2 linked regions of the Tamandua tetradactyla genome follow. The protein of the gene in region 2 purifies or fractionates together with the protein of the main gene of each other region. This does not show direct contact. Links are inferred from orthologs where the notes say so. Each region holds a gene or a part of one and is shown on either strand. Other genes may lie near its edges. The genes, in order: COPS5 and DCAF4.

What was found.
Region 1: the proteins of DCAF4 (region 2) and COPS5 purify together in Homo sapiens (affinity purification with mass spectrometry; 4 studies listed by BioGRID and IntAct, counting the BioPlex papers as one, with this or other methods). This does not show direct contact. The link is inferred for Tamandua tetradactyla from reciprocal best matches to the Homo sapiens genes DCAF4 and COPS5.

The regions. Positions count from the first base shown.
Region 1 is NC_135332.1:110,681,964-110,691,218, forward strand, and holds the start of COPS5 (COP9 signalosome complex subunit 5), read right to left. Parts: upstream 3,588-9,255; 5' UTR 3,379-3,587; coding exon 3,074-3,378; intron 1,111-3,073; coding exon 876-1,110; intron 121-875; coding exon 1-120. UniProt on the Homo sapiens protein: Probable protease subunit of the COP9 signalosome complex (CSN), a complex involved in various cellular and developmental processes.
Region 2 is NC_135338.1:31,551,708-31,560,354, reverse strand, and holds the start of DCAF4 (DDB1- and CUL4-associated factor 4), read right to left. Parts: upstream 3,722-8,647; 5' UTR 3,546-3,721; intron 1-3,545. UniProt on the Homo sapiens protein: May function as a substrate receptor for CUL4-DDB1 E3 ubiquitin-protein ligase complex.

The sequences.
Region 1 (9,255 bases), on a different chromosome or scaffold from region 2:
TACGAATGGTTCCTGGAACTGTTGATTGAGCATCTGAGTGCTAACATCAATCCCAGATAGCCAGCAGCCATAGCCAGGGTGGCTATGATACCAACCAATTGCATTTTCAAGGCGACCAACCTAACAAGTGAAGAGGGCAAAGGAACTTGACGTTACTGTTTGATATTAGAGAAACTTGTCATTCGTCTGTTTATATAGCTTTAGGTAAAAATGGAATGCAGAATAATTCATAGCATATTCTACTTTCAAGTTTTAAAAAAGAGGATTTTTTGAATAGGTAATACATGTATAAGGTACCAAATTAACAAGGCACAAGTAAAATAAAGGTATTTAGTTTCCTTCCCACCTCTTTCATCTCCACTATCTAGTTTCCCAGCCCAGATGCTACCACCATAGCCAGTTTTACATACCCTTCCAGAGACAGTCTTTGCATATAAAATAAATATTCTTTGCACATACGTAGATTAAAGACACATACATACAATAGCAAACCACATAATGGTCAACACTTTGCTTTTTCATTTAACATAACATTCTGGAGTTAGTTCCACATAAGTAAAAATAAAGATAGCTACTTCATTTTTTTAAAGGCAGGCTAGAAAAACCATTGTATAGATGTATCATAATTTATTTAACCAGTTTTATAGTCAGGAACATTTAAGTTGTTTCCATCCAAACTTTTCATTTTAAACACACATCTGGTAGTGAGAGAATCTGAATGAAAAAATTCCAAATTTTTAATCTCCTATACATTAAGAAATTGTTGCAAAAAACTTAATTATGAACTTCAGCGTAAAGAGAACAGTTTTAGGTTTGGAAAGTCAAAAGTCACCTTGAAACTTCTGGTTATGAACTTTAAGAAACAATGGTTTTACCTGTTTGGCATTCTCTATATACGCAGCCATGTATTCATATGCAGCAGCCTGAGCATTAACTCGAGTTTCAGTGCCCTCCACAGGCAAAGCAAAACTGTCCATAATGATCATGGTCTCACCATCCACCTTTCCTAGCATTAAACCCATTACTTCCAGGTTTCCTCCTGATCTGGCATGCATCACCATTTTCAGTAGAGCCAATGCTGAGATTTTGCAGTACTTAAAGTAATGGTGACTACAAGACAAAAACATGGTGTAATTAAATTTATATAAAGAACAATTTCAAAAGGTATTTTTTTTGGTGAAGTGAAGGACTATATATTGAAGGAATTTACAGTGATGGAAGGGGAGACAGAGTGTAAATTTGGGGAAAGAAAAAATAGGATAGGACAGAGTTCCTGCAGGGTGCCAAAAATAATAAACATGTCATAGTTCTGAACAGTTATTTCCACTTAGGGGAGGCAAAGTCTGAAAGAATTTTTAACTATGTTATTCAAGTGAAAAAGAGATCAGCTTAATAGACTTTTTCTCTATTAATTTCAGCATTACTGAGTCTCTGATTTTGACTCTGGCAGAATGGTTGTGTCTAACCAACTATTCTCAGGATCAGCCTTCTGTCCTAATGGTTGAGAACATGGGCTCTGATATCCGACTATGTTTGAATCCTGGCACTGCCACTTACTAACTATGGCCTCAGGACAACCACTTAATGTCTGTTCTTTAGCTTGCTTTTCTGTAAATAGGAATATTTCATAAGGTTGTTGTCAGGACTAAATAAAGTAAATAATCAGTAGACTACATCAACATTAAATGCATAGTCTACTATAAGTAGTAAGCAAATAACAAGGCAACCTAAACAGTCTGTATAGAATGGCCAAATTCTATGAAAAGTCATTTTTAGATGACATCTCACAGGTCATCTAAAAGCATCCAGGCTTAATTATCAAGTTTTGACAGATTTCAGTTACAAGCTGAAAAATATGAAGATTTGGTCTTAGGATTCAGGCACATGAATTAAAATTTTGGCTCCTCTATTTACTGGGGAAAAGAAAAGAAGATACAACTATTGTGATCCTATTACATGCATTCTAAACCCTTTTAATACCAAAATCTCATCTAATCTGTCTGACATCCACAAGAGGTAAGTCTTATCTCCATTTCAGAGACAAAAAAATGGGGACGCAAGGTCAATCACACAGTTAGTGACAGCTGGGAGAATTGATCTTAGGTCTATTGCTTATTTAAAAGTTCACTGCCTCAGTGCAATCATGAGGTGTGCCTTTCATGTATTTGCCTGTTTTATAATTGCAAAAAAGGAATGAAAATACAGTACAAGACTGTCAGGAAAAGATTATATGGTATTCCAGTATTAAGTTCTCAATAAACATTGCTGAATCTGAATTCTGGCAGTTAAAGTCAGCTTGTCTAAAACTCTGAGCAGATAAAATATGGTTTCTGTTGGTGTTCCTGTCTTTCTTCCTCTCCATCAGACAGTGCCTTCCCGTGCTCTTTTTACTTTCTCTAACAAAGTCTGTTCTCAGTAAAGAATAAATGTTATGATGAAAAGAACTCTAGACTTGTCATCGTTTCCAGGGAAAGAAATATTTTGCTAAGGGGCAAAGAGCCTTAAGCTCTATTAATATAATTTTTGGCTTATCTGAAGTGGTGTACCATTATTTTGGGAGACTGGATAAAGCCTCTGTATGTCCATGACATAACTACCAGCAGTTAAAAGACTGGTAGTCTTTTTTTTACATCTTTTTTTTATACATCTCTAAAAGATGGCTTATTGCTATCTGAGAGTCCTGAAGACGACTGCAGTCCCCAGTCCAGGATTAGCTGAAGGACCAGCCATAGTGTAGATCCCCTCGTGCTTCAAGGCAGAGTGTGCGGCATTAATGACAATACGGATGTTGAGAGATGATAACCCCTATCACCGCCACTTCTTTACTCCCTTTCATCTCCTGTAGGCAAATGGATTAAGGAGACAGAATTTAGGAGTCGCCGCAGACCCTCAGAGAGGGATTTGGGTTCTAGTTGCGGAGGTAAAGGCAGACAAAATCTCTCATACTCCTCTCCTTCCTAGCCCAGGAAAAGACAGTGCCAAGCTCTCCACATTCTTCAACTCCCACTCCCCCAAGCCTCTTAAACTCCCGCCACCCCTTCCCTCCCCTGCGTCTCGCCAGGGACCTCCTCACTCCTTAGTCCAGGGCTTCGCCGCCAGGATTTCCTGTTGCTGTTTCTTATCGTATTTGTAGATTTCATCGATACTCTGGGCTTCCTGCATGTTGTTGGCCAATTCCCAGGTTTTCTGGGCCATGCCGCTCCCGGACGCTGCCATAGCCGATGAGTTGAAGCTGTCCCCGCCACAACCTAACGCAACTTTACCCGTTAGGCCTCCGGGTGTGGGCTTCGGACCCTCCCCACCACCGGTGCAAACTCTTACAGGACTCTTAAAGCAGCCATGACACCTAGAACCGGAGGTGAAGGTGGTACAGACCATTCGGAGATGACAGGGGTACTTCTGAGGAGTGACGATATAAACAGAAGTAACAGGAAGACCTAGGGAAAGAGGAATCTTCTTGCGGCTGAAATGAAAACATCCTGTCCTGAGAATTATACATGTGAATTAGGCCAAACAAGGTAATTGGGTATGAGAATGGTACGACCTTCTGCACCGGAAGAAGGGCACGTTAACGGTTTGTCAGAATCTGGAATTAGCCTTCTTTGTTTGTACTGCGCAGGCTCGGCCTCCGCCATATTTAAAATGGATAGAGTCTCAGGCTATGATGGGGAAAGTAGTAGTTTTTGTCTGGGTGTAAGGGACCTCAAATAAGATAGGTTCGTTGAAAGCTTAAAATCAGGGTGCCTGTGGAGAAATTGAGATATAAGTAGTTCGGGATGGCAGTGAGAAGGAAGATACAAATGGCATCCCATTTTCCTGCTAGACAACTCACTGCGCGTGCGTAAATGTAAGGGAGTTGGCGGCAGTTTGGCTCAGCGCCTTCAGATCGGCGTTTTCTGCGTTCGGGGCGGCTTTGGAGATACGCGGACTGCGAAATACCTCTTGCATATTTGTAAAATCTAACAGCTGTATTTATATGTTTTGAGCTAGTTACTGTCCTGAAGTGTCTATACCCAGTTTTTGCTTTTTAAATTTAATTTTATTTTCTTGGTATTCAGTTTTTATAATAAGTTACTATAAAATCTTCAACATCATTCTGTGAAACTACCCCTGACCCCGAGGGATTACATCTCAGCAACCTTTAGGTTTCTAACAATAAAATGTTTATTTCATTTGTTAGTTTACTTGTTTGGGTCAGCCTCCGCCAACACTCCCGCTGGATTCAAAATTCTAAGACGCAGGGACCAGATCTGTCTTGTTTTGTCCCTAACACCTAGCAGAGTAGATGTTTAATAAATTTTTTGCTGAACAAAATTGAGTAGTGTCAAAGCTCATCATAATCTGGTCCCTTCGCGTCTCCCCAGCTTCATTTCTCTCTTTAGTCGCTCCTGAATATTTGCTCTTCCTGCAGTATATTTATTTTGACTGCATATGCGATTAGCAATTCCTGAAATTCTCTTCCTCAACTTTTCTGCCAGAGAGTTCTTATTAATTTTTAAAATACAGCTCGGAGATCTCCACTGTGAAACCTTTCTTGACTCCCTCCTCTCTCTAGTAATCATTTCTTCCATGTTGTCTCAGTCTCTGTACGTGCTTCTATGACTGTATTACATTGCATTGTAATAACATATTTGTTTACTTGAAGATTTTATTTCCACCGTAAGCTTGAGTGCAAAACACTGTATTGTAGCCTCCACTCCTAGTATGGTGCCTGGCATATACTTAAAAAACACTGGAAGGATCAAATTCACACTCAGTCACCTGCTGTTTTGACATTGACTTCCAACCGAAGAAAATCTGCATTTAAAGACACAAAGTAATTTAGGAAAGGACCCTTAGTTCCACATTCTTAGGAAGCTAGAAATCCTCTGCCTCCTCCCCTCCCCCCAAAGATAGCTATGGCTATTCAGTATTGGGGTGAAATGAATAACCTGTTGAAATGGTATTAAAAACCCAGGACATAATTAGACTAGATTGCTGGGCTAAGAGCAATGCCCAGAAGTATGTACACAGTTTTCCTTTCACGGCTTCCCCTTACCTTTTTTTTTTTCTCCTAGCTTTGACCCAGTTCTTGAGCTAGCCGGTGCCTGAGAGGCTGGAGGGGCTGGAATCTAACCTGGGAAGTGGATCCCACGGTTTAACAGCCCCGGGGCGGACTGTCTCCGGCTGGGCTGCAGGCGCCGCCTGCGGGCCCCGGGGCGGGGGTGCCCTTGTGCAGCTGTGCAGCTGTGCGGCCTCCCGGCTGCAGAGGGCGCTCCCGGCCGCGTGATCTATCGGCCGCGACGGCAGTGGGGCGGGGCCGCACCCGGCCGTTGGTGAAGGCGGGCGGAGATCTCCGCCAGAGAGGCGGAGCCGGGCCAGCGGCCTGTCACTGTTCTCCGGCGCCGAGCGACTGCCGCCTCCGTTCCTGGACACGAAAGCTCCTAGTTGGAACATTGTGAGGACCCCAAACGGAGTTTATCCTCTTGGGTGAGAGTCCGCCAGCACGGGGTGGGGATAGGGCCCGACAGGGTGTGGCCCGGGAGTAAGGGGATCAGGGCTGGATTCGCGGCCCCGGGGCGGGGATTGGGTTTCATGGACCCGGGGAGGGGGTAAGGGAGAGTCCCTGTGGCAGCCGAGCCTGGGTCAGTGCAAGGGTTACGCGGGTGGGGTTCTTTGCGGACTGGGGTCTGACGGCTGGGGTTGGGGGCGGTACACGGGTCCTGTGGGTGGAAGCTGTCTGCCGACAGGGGTAACCGGATGCGGGCAGTGCAAGTGTCGATGTATGGGGTTCCCTGCGGACTGGGTCCCTCGGCTGCAGGGCTGGAGGAGTTAGGTGACCGGAGGTTCCCTGCGGGCAGGGGTCTCATGGCTGCCGGGCTGGGGGGTCAACCCTGCGGGCGGGTTTGTGGCGGTTGCCGGGCTGGGGCGGTGCACGCATGCGGCGGTCTCGGTTTCCCGGCGGCCGCCACGGGTGTTATGGTGACTCTGTTGCCTGACAACGCATCGAAGCTTCGTAGGGAGGAAGCCAGCCCGGTGTCCTAGACGCACGGGGTCCTCCTTCCTGCACTCCTTCCTTCTTGGGGGACCCGGCCTCCACAGCTCTACCTAGCCTTTGGCGGCGCCTTTCCTTTCCCGTAGTGCTGGTTAATGGTTAACGTTTGTTGAGGGCTTGTGCGCCCCGCGCTCTTCCCGGAGCTTTGCTTCGCAAGTTATAATTTATTTAATCTTCACCACAGATGAATGAAGAAGGTGCTTTTGTTATTCTGTTCTGTTCCTGTAATTGCCTGGCTTCTTGAACTAGAACCTTTTATTTCTAATTGCTTCAATTTAGGGTACTTTCTGAGATTTCAATCCAGTTTTCAGTAAACGTTAGCAATGTTAGCAATAGTGCATCTTTTGAGAGTCTTGCTCCAAAGATTATAGGATTGAGAAGGTAGCTTGAATGTCTAGAGAGACTAAATTTTAAAGAAAACCTCATAGTTTCCATACACCTAATAACGATCAAGAAGAGTTTGCAAAAGCCAGTTATTCTGAGGAGGTTTTATTTATAAACGTACTGGCATGTCCTGTCTACAAGCAAAAAGGAATCCTGGAAAGTTTTAGGTAATGGGTGGTGTGATGGGATCCACATTAATATAATTAATACTACTGATTGTATATTGAAAGTTATTAAAGTGGAACTTATGTTTTGTATACGTTACCAAAAAAGAAAAAAAAAAAAGGAATCCTGGGGGAAACCAGTAAGATGTTGCTTTCTTAACTGTATATCATTCTCCTGGCTAGGAGGATGCTGTCTTTCTGGTGGTAAATATATGCTGAAATGCTCCCGAGGATGAAATTTGGGTCTCTTGCAGCACTAGTAATCTCTGGGAAGGAACAGGTGTGCTTTCAGTACAATTTTTATCAAATCAACCTTTAGACAAATGCAGTTGATTACGAATTTGACAGATTTCAGATATTTTAACATCACTCTGACTTACATTCTGATATGCTTTCTGGAGTGAAAGAGAAAGATATTTGAGCAAGTGTTTCGGCAATTTTACAAAACCCATAGTCTATGTAATTTTTGCGACTGTCATCTGTACTTGCCATTAATAGTTGCTTAATAGACTTCGAAAAGCTTTTATAAACTTACTTCCTCTCTGACCCCCACCCTTTTGGTCTCCCTGCAGCGACACAGTATTTACTTCTTAGACATGTTTAGGGGGATTTGTGTCCCTATGATAAGTTGCTCATGTGGATTTCATCTAATAGGAGAAAAAGATTGAGAAACTTTCATTAGATGGAGAGATCTGTGGATGGATGGGAAGTGAGAAACGCTGTCCTGGTTTACCTCTTTCCTCCCTGCTCTAGTTTGCTGGCTGCCAGAATGCAGTATACCAGAAACAGAATGGCTTTTAAAACGGGAATTTAATAAGTTGCTAGTTTACAGCTCTAAGGCCGAGAAAATGTCCCAATTGAAACAAGTCTATAGAAATGTCCAATCAAAGGCATCCAGGGAAAGATACCTTGGTTCAGGAAGGCCGATGAACTTCAGGATTTCTCTCTCAATTGTGAAGGCCCAAGGCTTCGGGCTTCTCTCTCAGCTGGAAGGGCACATGGCAAACAGGGCATCATGTGCTAGCTTCTCTCCTGGCTTCCGGTTTCATGAAGCTCCCCGGGAGGCATTTTCCTTCTTCATCTCCAAAGGTCACTGGTTTGTGGACTCTCTGCTTCGTGGTGCTGCAGCATTCTCAGCTCTCCCCGAATCTCTCATTCTTCAAAATGTTTCCTCTTTTATAGGACTTCTGAAACTAATCAAGACCCACCCAAATGGGTGGAGACACATCTCCCCTAATCCAGTTTAACAACCAATCTTGATTAGTTGTTAACCTAATCTTGATTAGGTTACATCTCCAGGGAGATGATCTAATTACATACAGTATTGAGTAGGGATTATTCTGCCTCTACAAAATGGAATTTTGATTAAAACATGGCTTTTCTAGGGTACATACATCCTTTTAAACCAGCACACTTCCTTTCTTTCTTCTGAGTTTCTTTCACAGGTTCCCATATCCTGGCCCCAACCTCAATATGTTTGCACTCCATGGGATTCTATCTGCAGTGCTATTCTCCTTCTACTCTAGGGTCTCTTTTCCCAGCCGACTTTAATGATTACTGTAAACATTGCTGGATCTTTAGTTCCAGTCTGGGTTCTTTCCTGAGTTCCAGACATACATTATTTTCTTGATATCTCCATTGGATCCTTTATGAGGTTCCTCACATTTAATCCCTGAAGCCCAGACTGGCTAAACTGTAAACCATTGTGGCATGGGCCATTATCGTGTGTGAATTCAAAGGTGAAGTTCATGTCTTATTCTTTTTTTAAAAAAATTTTATCACCCCAGCATCTAGCACAATGTTTGCTTTAGGAGGGGAGCTACTTTCTGTTTGTCATGTTCCATAGTGGGAAGTTAAATAATTTCTGCTCCTTGAAGTGAGAAGTATGGGAGCGACATTTCCCCTCTCTTTGTGTTTGATGAAACTGGAAAAGGAACCAGGCATACTTAACTGCTTTTGGATCTCTGCTTTTTCAACTTGCTCAGGACTTAGAATGGGTATGTTCTGGTCTGCCCATATTTCTATCTATATGACAAGCGTAAAGGACCTAAGTTAAGGTGTAGAAATATTGAATTGGATTATAACAAAGTATCAATTATTGGTGATTTAAATCCCAGTGTACTTTAAGTTTTGAGGCTTTTTTTTAAAGGTAATACCTATATAATTAAAGACTATAAAAATACTATAAGAATCTATGAAATAGCTATGATTTATTGATTTCCAAGTGCCACATATTTTATATGCATTATTTCATATTTATCTTTAAAACATCTCTGAAGTAAGTGGTATCTCCATTTTATAAATGAGACATAGAGAGGTTAAGGAACTTTTCTGAGGTTAGTCATATAAAGTCAGTAAGTGACGGGCTTGGGTTTCAAATCCAGGTCTTTCACTAAAACTGAATTTCCTAAAAACCATTTATCATCTCCATCCTCAGTACACAGATACTAAAAAAAAACCCAACTTGGTAATAGTGTCTTGAGAAAGGTTATGAATGATTTTGCTTTGTAGGGTATCAGGAAGATGAAGAATCTCATTGAGATTTCTTTCAGCACATCTTCCTTGCATTTTAATCCTTAAATTGTAATCGTTCTTATTGTAGTTTGTACATAGACTATACTCATCAACTCAGTCTTTTTGATTTGCTAAGTAACTTTTTTATGAACAATTGAT
Region 2 (8,647 bases):
TATGGTTTTTTGTTTGTTTGTGTGTTTGTATCTTTTGTTTTTGTTTTTTTTCTTTTTCCTTTATATATATATATATATATATATTATTAGTATTATTATTTTAATTCTCTTCTCTATATTAACATTCTATATTTTTTTCTGCTGTTTTGCTAGTTCTTTTCCTAAATCGATGCAAATGTACTAAGAAATGATGATCATACATCTATGTGATGATACTAAGAATTACTGAGTGCATTTGTAGAATGGAATGATTTCTAAATGTTGTGTTAATTTCTTTTCTTTTTTTTGATTAATAAAAAAATTAAATAAAAAAAAAAAACTTACTTGAAAGTTACAATAATCAAGACAGTGTGGTTACTGGCATAAGGACAGAAGGAGCCACAGACTAGAACAGAGTCCAGAAATAAACCCATATATGTAGGGTCAGCTGATTTTTCAACAACGGTGCCAAGACCATACAATGGGGGTAAAAGCAGTCTTTTCAACAAATGGTGCTGGACAACTGGATAGTCGTCACATGGAAAACAATGAAGTTGGACCCTACATCATATCATATACAAAAATTAACTCAAATGGATCCAAGACCTAAATTTAAGAGCTGAAACTATGAACTCTTAGAAGAAAATTTAAAACTTTGGTGCATCGATGGATCTTAACAAGAAAGTGAAAAGACAATGTACAGAATGGGAAAAGACATGTGTAAATCATCTATAAGGGTCCAGTATCTAGAATATATAAGGAACTTCCACAATTGAACAATGAAAAGACAAACTGATTAAAAAATGGACAAAAGACTGGGGTGGCACTTCCCCAAAGAAGACATACAAATGGCCAAGAAGCACACGAAAATATGCCCAACATCTAAATTTTTCTTCTCAACCTTTTCTTTATTTTGGTAGGCAACACGTGAATACCTCTGCTCTGCAAAGAAGTATTTCAATAGTGATAAATTCTGAAACTATAGTCTTCATATCATCTATTTTCTGCTTTCCAAAACTGGAATAGCTTCCTTCAGATGATGACTTGTCTGTAGCTCCCTGAGACTCAGTTTCTGCCTGTGAAATAACATGCTGATCACATGGGTCTCGCTGATTTGTCCTTTTCCGAGTTAACCGTTTAGCTTAATTCTTTGCGGTTAATGTGGCCTGAGGTCATCCCATTCCATTTTTCAATGCAACTTAAGTTTTCAAAGGTTTAACTACTTTGGCTTCAAGTCTTTCAACCTCTGGTTATTGACAAGCCTGATGTTTGGCAAACTCATCAGGAAAAGTTGTTCAGGCCTCTGGGTCTCTGTAGAGGCACACATGCTGATTTCACCAGGAGGTTGGCTTTGTCTGACAGCATGGTGATTTTCTGCACATAAGCAGCAAAAGATTTGGTGCAGCTCTCCAAAATGCTTTTTCCCATTTGTGATATCATCTTGCAGGTTTTGCTGATAACCTGTCCCTCCCTGCCTTTAAGATCACATTCCTGGCCTGGCCTCAATATCCGGAAGGTAGAGACACACGAAAAGGCACAGGCATGTAGGCCTCAAGCTGTGACCTGGAAGCTTGGGCTATTCCCAGGGTTTTGTATGGCCCGAGGCAGTGCTGGGACTCCAGCCTGGAGAAAGTGGGTGGGTAGCAGTACTCTCACTGGTACATGGACTTCCCTCACCAGCCTCCTCTAGTTTAGGGAAGGAGGCCCCAGAATATAGTGGCTCAGGTCCAGGACTTAGCTATAGAGACTCCCTGGAGAGAGGCTCCAATTCTCCCATGCAAGTTCTTGAATCTAGGGTCTCTGGGCAGTTGGGTCCCCCTGCTTGTTACCAGTTTTCCAGGAGGAGCCTCAACATCTTGCTAGCCTAAGGCGTTGGGAAACCTAGAATGGGGCCCATCCACCAGGCCTCCAAGGTTGACCCAGGACCACAGGGTTTCTCTTTGGTGTGATGAAACTATTCCGGAATTAGATAGTGGGGATGACCATGGAACCTTGCAAATATACTAAAATCCATGGAATTGTTAACTTTTAAGTGGTAGATTTTATAGTATCTGAATTATGTCTCAAAAAAAAAAAGATATTTACTCAGCATTACTGTAATATCTAAAACAAGACATATCCAAAATATTCAACAAAAAGGAATTAAATGAATTATGACTGTGGTACAGCTACTCAACATAAAATTACGGAAACTACTGAACCATAATGTGGAAGGATGCTAATGCCACTGATTTGTACAGGCGAATACAAAACGACCTCTACATGGAGACTTCCACCTTGTTAAAAGTATGTGGACACAAGGACAGAGGCTGCAAGGAAACGGAAAAATGCAAATAGTTCAGTTTGGAAGCACTGAGGAGTGAAATACTACTTTTGCTTAGTGTAAAAAAAAAAGTTTTCTGTTATTCAAGAAATACTACAGGTGTAAGCCTTTGTACTAATATCCACCCTGAGCTGTTATTTTACCTCTGTTTTATAAATAAGGAAACGGAGGCCTGGAGGCCTAGAGGACTGAGTAATATGCACAGAATGACAAAACTAATTAGTGGTGAAATAGGGATTCCAGCCCTGCTGGTCTGACCCCTGAGCCTGGTCACCAGCGTTTTAACAAGACACCACCTCAACTATAAATTCCATTGTTATTTAAAAACAGAGTTTGGGACTCTGGGATTTTGTTTGTTTCCTCCTGGAGCTGTCCTATTAGTTTTCTTTCCTCCTTTTTCCCCCTCTGCTGTACTGATCAATTCACAAGACGATGTCCGTCGACTATCCTGCCCCATCAAGGAGAAGGGTTTATCACGGTTCCTGCAGTCAACTAGAAGGACAAGACTTGCTGGACTCTGCAAGCACGTATGTGCAAATACTGGCTCTCTTGCTACTACACAACTCGGTGTGGCCGTTAAGGGCCGGGCTCTGGACTCAGAAAGTCTCAGATCAAATTAGGGATTCGTCACTTAATTAGACGGGGTAAGTTTCAACCTCACTACGCCCTTTCTGCAGCCTATCTATAGGGCTGTCGTGTGGAAAACGAAATTTAGTGCCTCCAAAGCAGTTAGTACAGCGCCTAGCACTTAGTAAGCACTCAATATGCGTTGGCTGTTATGCTGACCTGACCGAAAAAGTCAACCCAATATGAACATTAAGGGGAAACAGCCCCCATGAATCGGTAGCCCAGCCAAGGCTAGGTGCTTGATGGTGCCACCAGCATCAGGGTTTTTAAAAACGTTCCTTCGGGGCAAGAGACTGAGCGGCGACACTCGGGTCCCTCTTTTCACTCCCCGCCCCCGTGTCTACGACTGCAGCTCCGACCTTCAGGACAGGCCCCACCCCCACCCCCACCCCCACCCCACACGCCCACGGATTCCCTCCGGCAAAACCGGAACCCACCTGCCCAGCCTCCACCCCAGCCACAGTCCTACCGGCGTTCCACGTGCTGCTCGGTTCCTCCCCGCCCCTTTCTCTGGCCTTCCCCACACGCTCCCACCCACCTGAGCTCTGTAAGAGGGGAGAAGCAACAGCAGCCCTCCGTCCGACACCACCTGGCACCTCAGCCAACATAGACCTACCTGATTGTGAGGGTCCGTTCTGGCTAGCCCGCGACCCCAGCTCTGCAAGGTTAGGAACGAGTTGCGGAGGAACCCGGAAGGACCGAGTTGTAGGGTCAGCCAGTTAGGCGCGTCCGTTGTTGTGTTGTAGCAGCCGATAGGGCCATGACGGCCGCCTCTTCCTTCTCATTGGACACAGCTTCTGTCTGTCGACATCTATAGGGTCGATCTCACCGGGAGGGCGGGACATGGGTGTTCGGCTCCGCCCAGCCTGGTGGGGCGGTCCGGGTCGACTGGCGTGTCCGGGCGTGTCCGGGGCGTGTCCGTCCAGGAGCCTCAGGGCTCGCAGACCACCCGAGAAGGTGTGCGTCTCTCGCCCGGGTCCGGATTCCTTCTCTGCCCGCAGCTCACTGACCCAACCCGGGAGAAGTTCTTTTGTCACTCGGGGGCCACTGTCTTTAAAACTAACACTTGAGGAGGAGGATTGTGTTGGGTGAAGGGCGAAGGAGTCTCTGAGGTGAGAGAGAGAAGAGGAACAGGTGCTGACGTCTTCGGCGGTGACTTCAGGTGTTTGAGGCGGATGACCCGAGTTCTGCTTGGCCCCGCGGTGCAGAGGAGGGTGCCCGGAGCGGGGAGTCAGGAGGCCTGGGTTCCAGGCTTAATTCTGTTCCCTTCTTAATGTGGACCTGGGGCAGGCTCTTCCCTTCTCTGGGCTTCCGTTTCTTATGTCTGTCCTTTTCTCCAGCAATAACGTTCAGAACGATTTGTCCATACGAGCAATAAATAGTTCCAGAAAGTTTTCTGTGTGTTGTGCCTTAGCTGACAGCCATCAGGTCTTCTAAAAGGAAAACAGCAGCCTGTGATAGAGCTCGTGATACAATAGGAAAATAAGCCCATTCCTGTTTACCCAGAAAGTATTTTCTACTGAATACCAGTTTTGTGAGGAGAGCTGAGTTCAAATAGGCCGGGCTTTGGGGCCACTTGCAGACCTGGTGCCCCAGCTGTCTGTTAACAAAGACCCCTGTGGCTTTACTCTTCAGAAACTAGGTTGTGGCGTTTATCCGTCCTTCCAGTACATCCAGAAGGCGTTTCAAGCAATACCATGAAAGTAGAATTTCGACTCTGAAGTTTACAAAGAAGTGCTGGGCATGGTGGAGTGGAGGTGGGCAGGTGTGAAGGGCTGGAGAGGGGGATGAGAGATGTGAGTATAATCAGAATAAAGGACAGTTTTATGAAGCTTGTATTGCCTTGAAGAGGAGGCAGAGGGAAATTGGAAGAAAAAAACATGACTGACAGCTTGTTCAAGAAATAGTGAGACATTTCTTTTGGCTGAATGAGAGGGGAGTCCTGGAGGTAAAACTTACAAGGGGCTTCAGATGCTGTAAAAAGTGTAGACAGTGAGTAAGTAGCATGAACCTCTGAAGGCTTGGAGTGATACGACTAGAGCTTTGCTTTGGGGAAATTACCTGGGTAGCGCTGTGTAGGAGACTGGAGAGGAAAGACTGGAAGTCAGATGAGAAACTTGTTAGGAGGTTAGTGCAGCAGCAGTGCCTGTGAGAGGTAGTGAGGGCCCAGCCAGGGATAAAAGCAGGGTTGGGGTGGTGAATGAGTGACACATTTCGGGAGAACCTGCATGACTTGATAGACTCTGTGGGAGGAGACAGATAGGGTTTTAAACCGAAGAGCTGGGTGACTGGAGGAAGTAAGGAGGAAGAGTTTGTTTGGACTTCTGAACTGCTGAATGGCAGAGAGGGCAATTGAATATCCACAGAGGGAGTGGTGTGATAGGCACGGGATATGCCTTGGGGACCTGCAGTGTACACACGGTGAGAAAGATTAAACAGCATTAATTAGTGCACAAAGGAAGCTTGGCCTTTAACAAGTTATACGACCTCTCTGAATCTCTGTTGGTAAATGGGGATATTAACATCTACTAAAGAGGGTTTTGCATAGTAAATGCGAGGATAAATCACCTTGCACGGTGCTTGATCTATAGCTCCCATTGACTGGACATCCTCTATTAGGAGTATAGCTCAAGATCTAGATGGCATGTGTTATTATCAAAAGTAACAATAATTACTTTTAAAAAATTTCCTCTCCAGAATCTAAAACCAAGATAAATGAAAGTTGTTCTTTGAAATGGTGTCTAAATTGAATCAAGATTAAATTCGACTACATAAAAATGATAAATAATCACTTATAGTCCTTACCATAAGTCAGATATTTTCTGATCACTTTACATATATTCATTCTTTTAATCATTAGAACAATCTTACAAGGTAGGTACTATTAATATCACCACTTTGTGTGAATTTGACTAAGTGACTTGGTCAAGGTCACACAGCAGGTGAATATCAGAATCAAGATTTGAATTCAGGCAGTCTGTTTCCAGAATCTGCGTTCTTGAGGCAAAAAGTATTATAATGAAAATCAAAAGATATGCACTGATATTTGATATAAAATATTTGCAACTCTTAGAAAAGCTAATTTTCGTAATATATAAAGAGCTCCCAAAAATAAACCCAATAGAAAAATGAGCAGTCCATCTACAAAAAAGGAAATAAATATAAAATGATGCTTAGTCTCACTCCATATAAGGGAAATGTAGTTTAAAACTATACCGACATACCCCTTTTTCATAATCAGCAAAGTACAGAAGGTTGTTAAAATTCAATGAGGAGGGTGGGCCATGGTGACTCAGCAGGTAGGAGTGCTTGCCTGCCATGCCCAAGGACCCAGGTTCAATTCCCAGTGCCTGCCCATGTAAAAAAAAAGATTCAATGAGGGGGCTCCCGTACAATCTCTAAGGGAGAGAGTTTAGCAATATATCGATATTTATCAAAATTAAAACACACAGACCTTTGAGCAATTATATTGCTAATTCACCCTAAAATTTTTATTTTGTTATGTACAAAATTGATTAAGTCTATGGAGTTTTGTTTATAATAGTGAAAAGTTGGATACAACCTTAATATCCATTAATAAGAGGAAAACTTATGTTACATTAATTCAGTGGAATACTCTGCAACTGTTACAAAGTAAAAGAATGACTCCCAGGGATGAGCCTGGCCCTGGCACAGTGGGATCAACAATGCCATCTTGACCAAAGGGGACAAAAGAAGTATAAGAAATAAGGTATCAGTGGCTGAGAGAGTTCACATAGAGTCAAGAGGATACTCTGGAGGTCACTCTTACACAAGCGTCAATTAGACCTTACTACCTATTGTAACTTGCCAAACCCCAAACAAAACCATTCCTGCCAATCCTAAAGAATACCTAGGGCATTATATAAGATTCTACAAAGGTTCTCTCTACTAGGGTAACTCTTTAGGAACCTACAAACTCCAGGTGGGTCCTTGCACCAGATAAGTCCTGAAATGCAGAGGGGCCAGCCTCTCCAGAACATCAACTAGCTCCATCCGCCTATACCATATTATTAACAACCCTTTCCAACATGAAAATGTTAGAATGGGCATAGCTCAAAGGTGGAGTTATACAGAGAAGGTAGGGTTTAACAAATGAGTATGATTGCTGAATCATTATATTGATATTTCTTTTAGTTTCCAGTACCTTAGAGCAGCTAGGAGTAAAAACAAAATTGTGGAATCATAACCCATACCAAACTCTGAAATCTGTTGTACAACTAATTGTTGCGATGTGCTTTGAAATTTATTGCTTTTCTGTATATGTGTTATTTTTCACACACAAAAAAGAGGCGTATAACAGAAAAGATAGAATTTAACAAATGAGTATGACTGATGAATCATTATATTGATATTTCTTTTGGTCTCTAGTGTCTTGCAGGAACAAGAAGAAAACATGAAAAATTGTGAAACTGTAACCCATACCAAACTTTAAAATCTGTTCTATAATTACTTGTTAAATGTACTTGGAAATTTATTGCTTATTTGTATATATGTTATATTTCACAACAAAGAAAGTTAAAAAAAAAAAAAGTAAAAAGAATGAGGAGGTTCTTTATATACTGATATGAAATTACCTCCAAGATAGATTTTTAGTAGCATATAGAATGAAAAATGTATTTGTGTGTGTATATATATGTGTATGTCCCTGGAATGATACTAAACTTGATCATATCCATTAACTTTAGGGAGGGAACGTAAGTAGTTAGGAGGCAGGGATGGGAGGAAGGTTTTTCACTATATGCTTTGTTGTACTTTTTTACTTTTGACTATGTGAAATTAAAATATAAAATTTAAGTCTGATTCTTCTAAAATATCACATTTAAATATTAGTTAAAACAAGTCAACATATTATGAACAGCTGCCACCTGCAGAATTTGTCAAAGGGGCTAGGTTGCCTTGTCAAACCCCATCTTGGAGACACTAATCCGAAATGTAATCAATATAAGAGAAACATAATCCAAGAACATGTCCATCATGTGGTAACAATCACCCAGAGCCTGGAAAAAAGAGCTGTTTAATCAGAATTTGTCAGCTTCTATTTAGCAGTATCAAAGGGAAGGAGTTGTAATATCTGAGGGATGTATCTTGGTCCCTGAAAAACTGGATTCAAAATAATTCTCCTGTCCCTTCACTAAGCTGAATGAAATGTCCCACAAAACTTTCCAAGTTCCTTTGTATGATTACATATTCACCCAAGTGCTGATTCCACCACCCAAGGATGGCAATTCTGGAAAGGAGAGAGCTCTGGGGTAATGAGCAAGAATATTCTAGGCACTAGGAAGTTCTGAGTCCAGTAATAACCTGTAGTATTGGTATTCTGTGTGCTTGGATAAATTGAAGCAGTTTCCTGGTCCGAGTAACTGATATCCCATGCTGGAACCTGTAAACTCAAGGACAAGAACAAGACTCCAAATATTAGTCTTAGCTGGTTAACAGCCAAATTACTAGTTTATTATTTATTATTTACTTATTATTATTAAATTATTAATTAATAATACCTGAAACGGGAAAAAAGCTCCAATTACCTGTGACAAATCCACTCAAAGAAAACCGCTGTAAATATTTGGATATATGTCTTTTTTCCTAAGCATGTTTTATTACACATCTTTTACCCCTTCAGTCCAGAAGGCATTATTGACCTCATGGTGCCAGGGCCAGATTCATCCTGGGAAATCATGCCCCATGTCATCAGGGAGA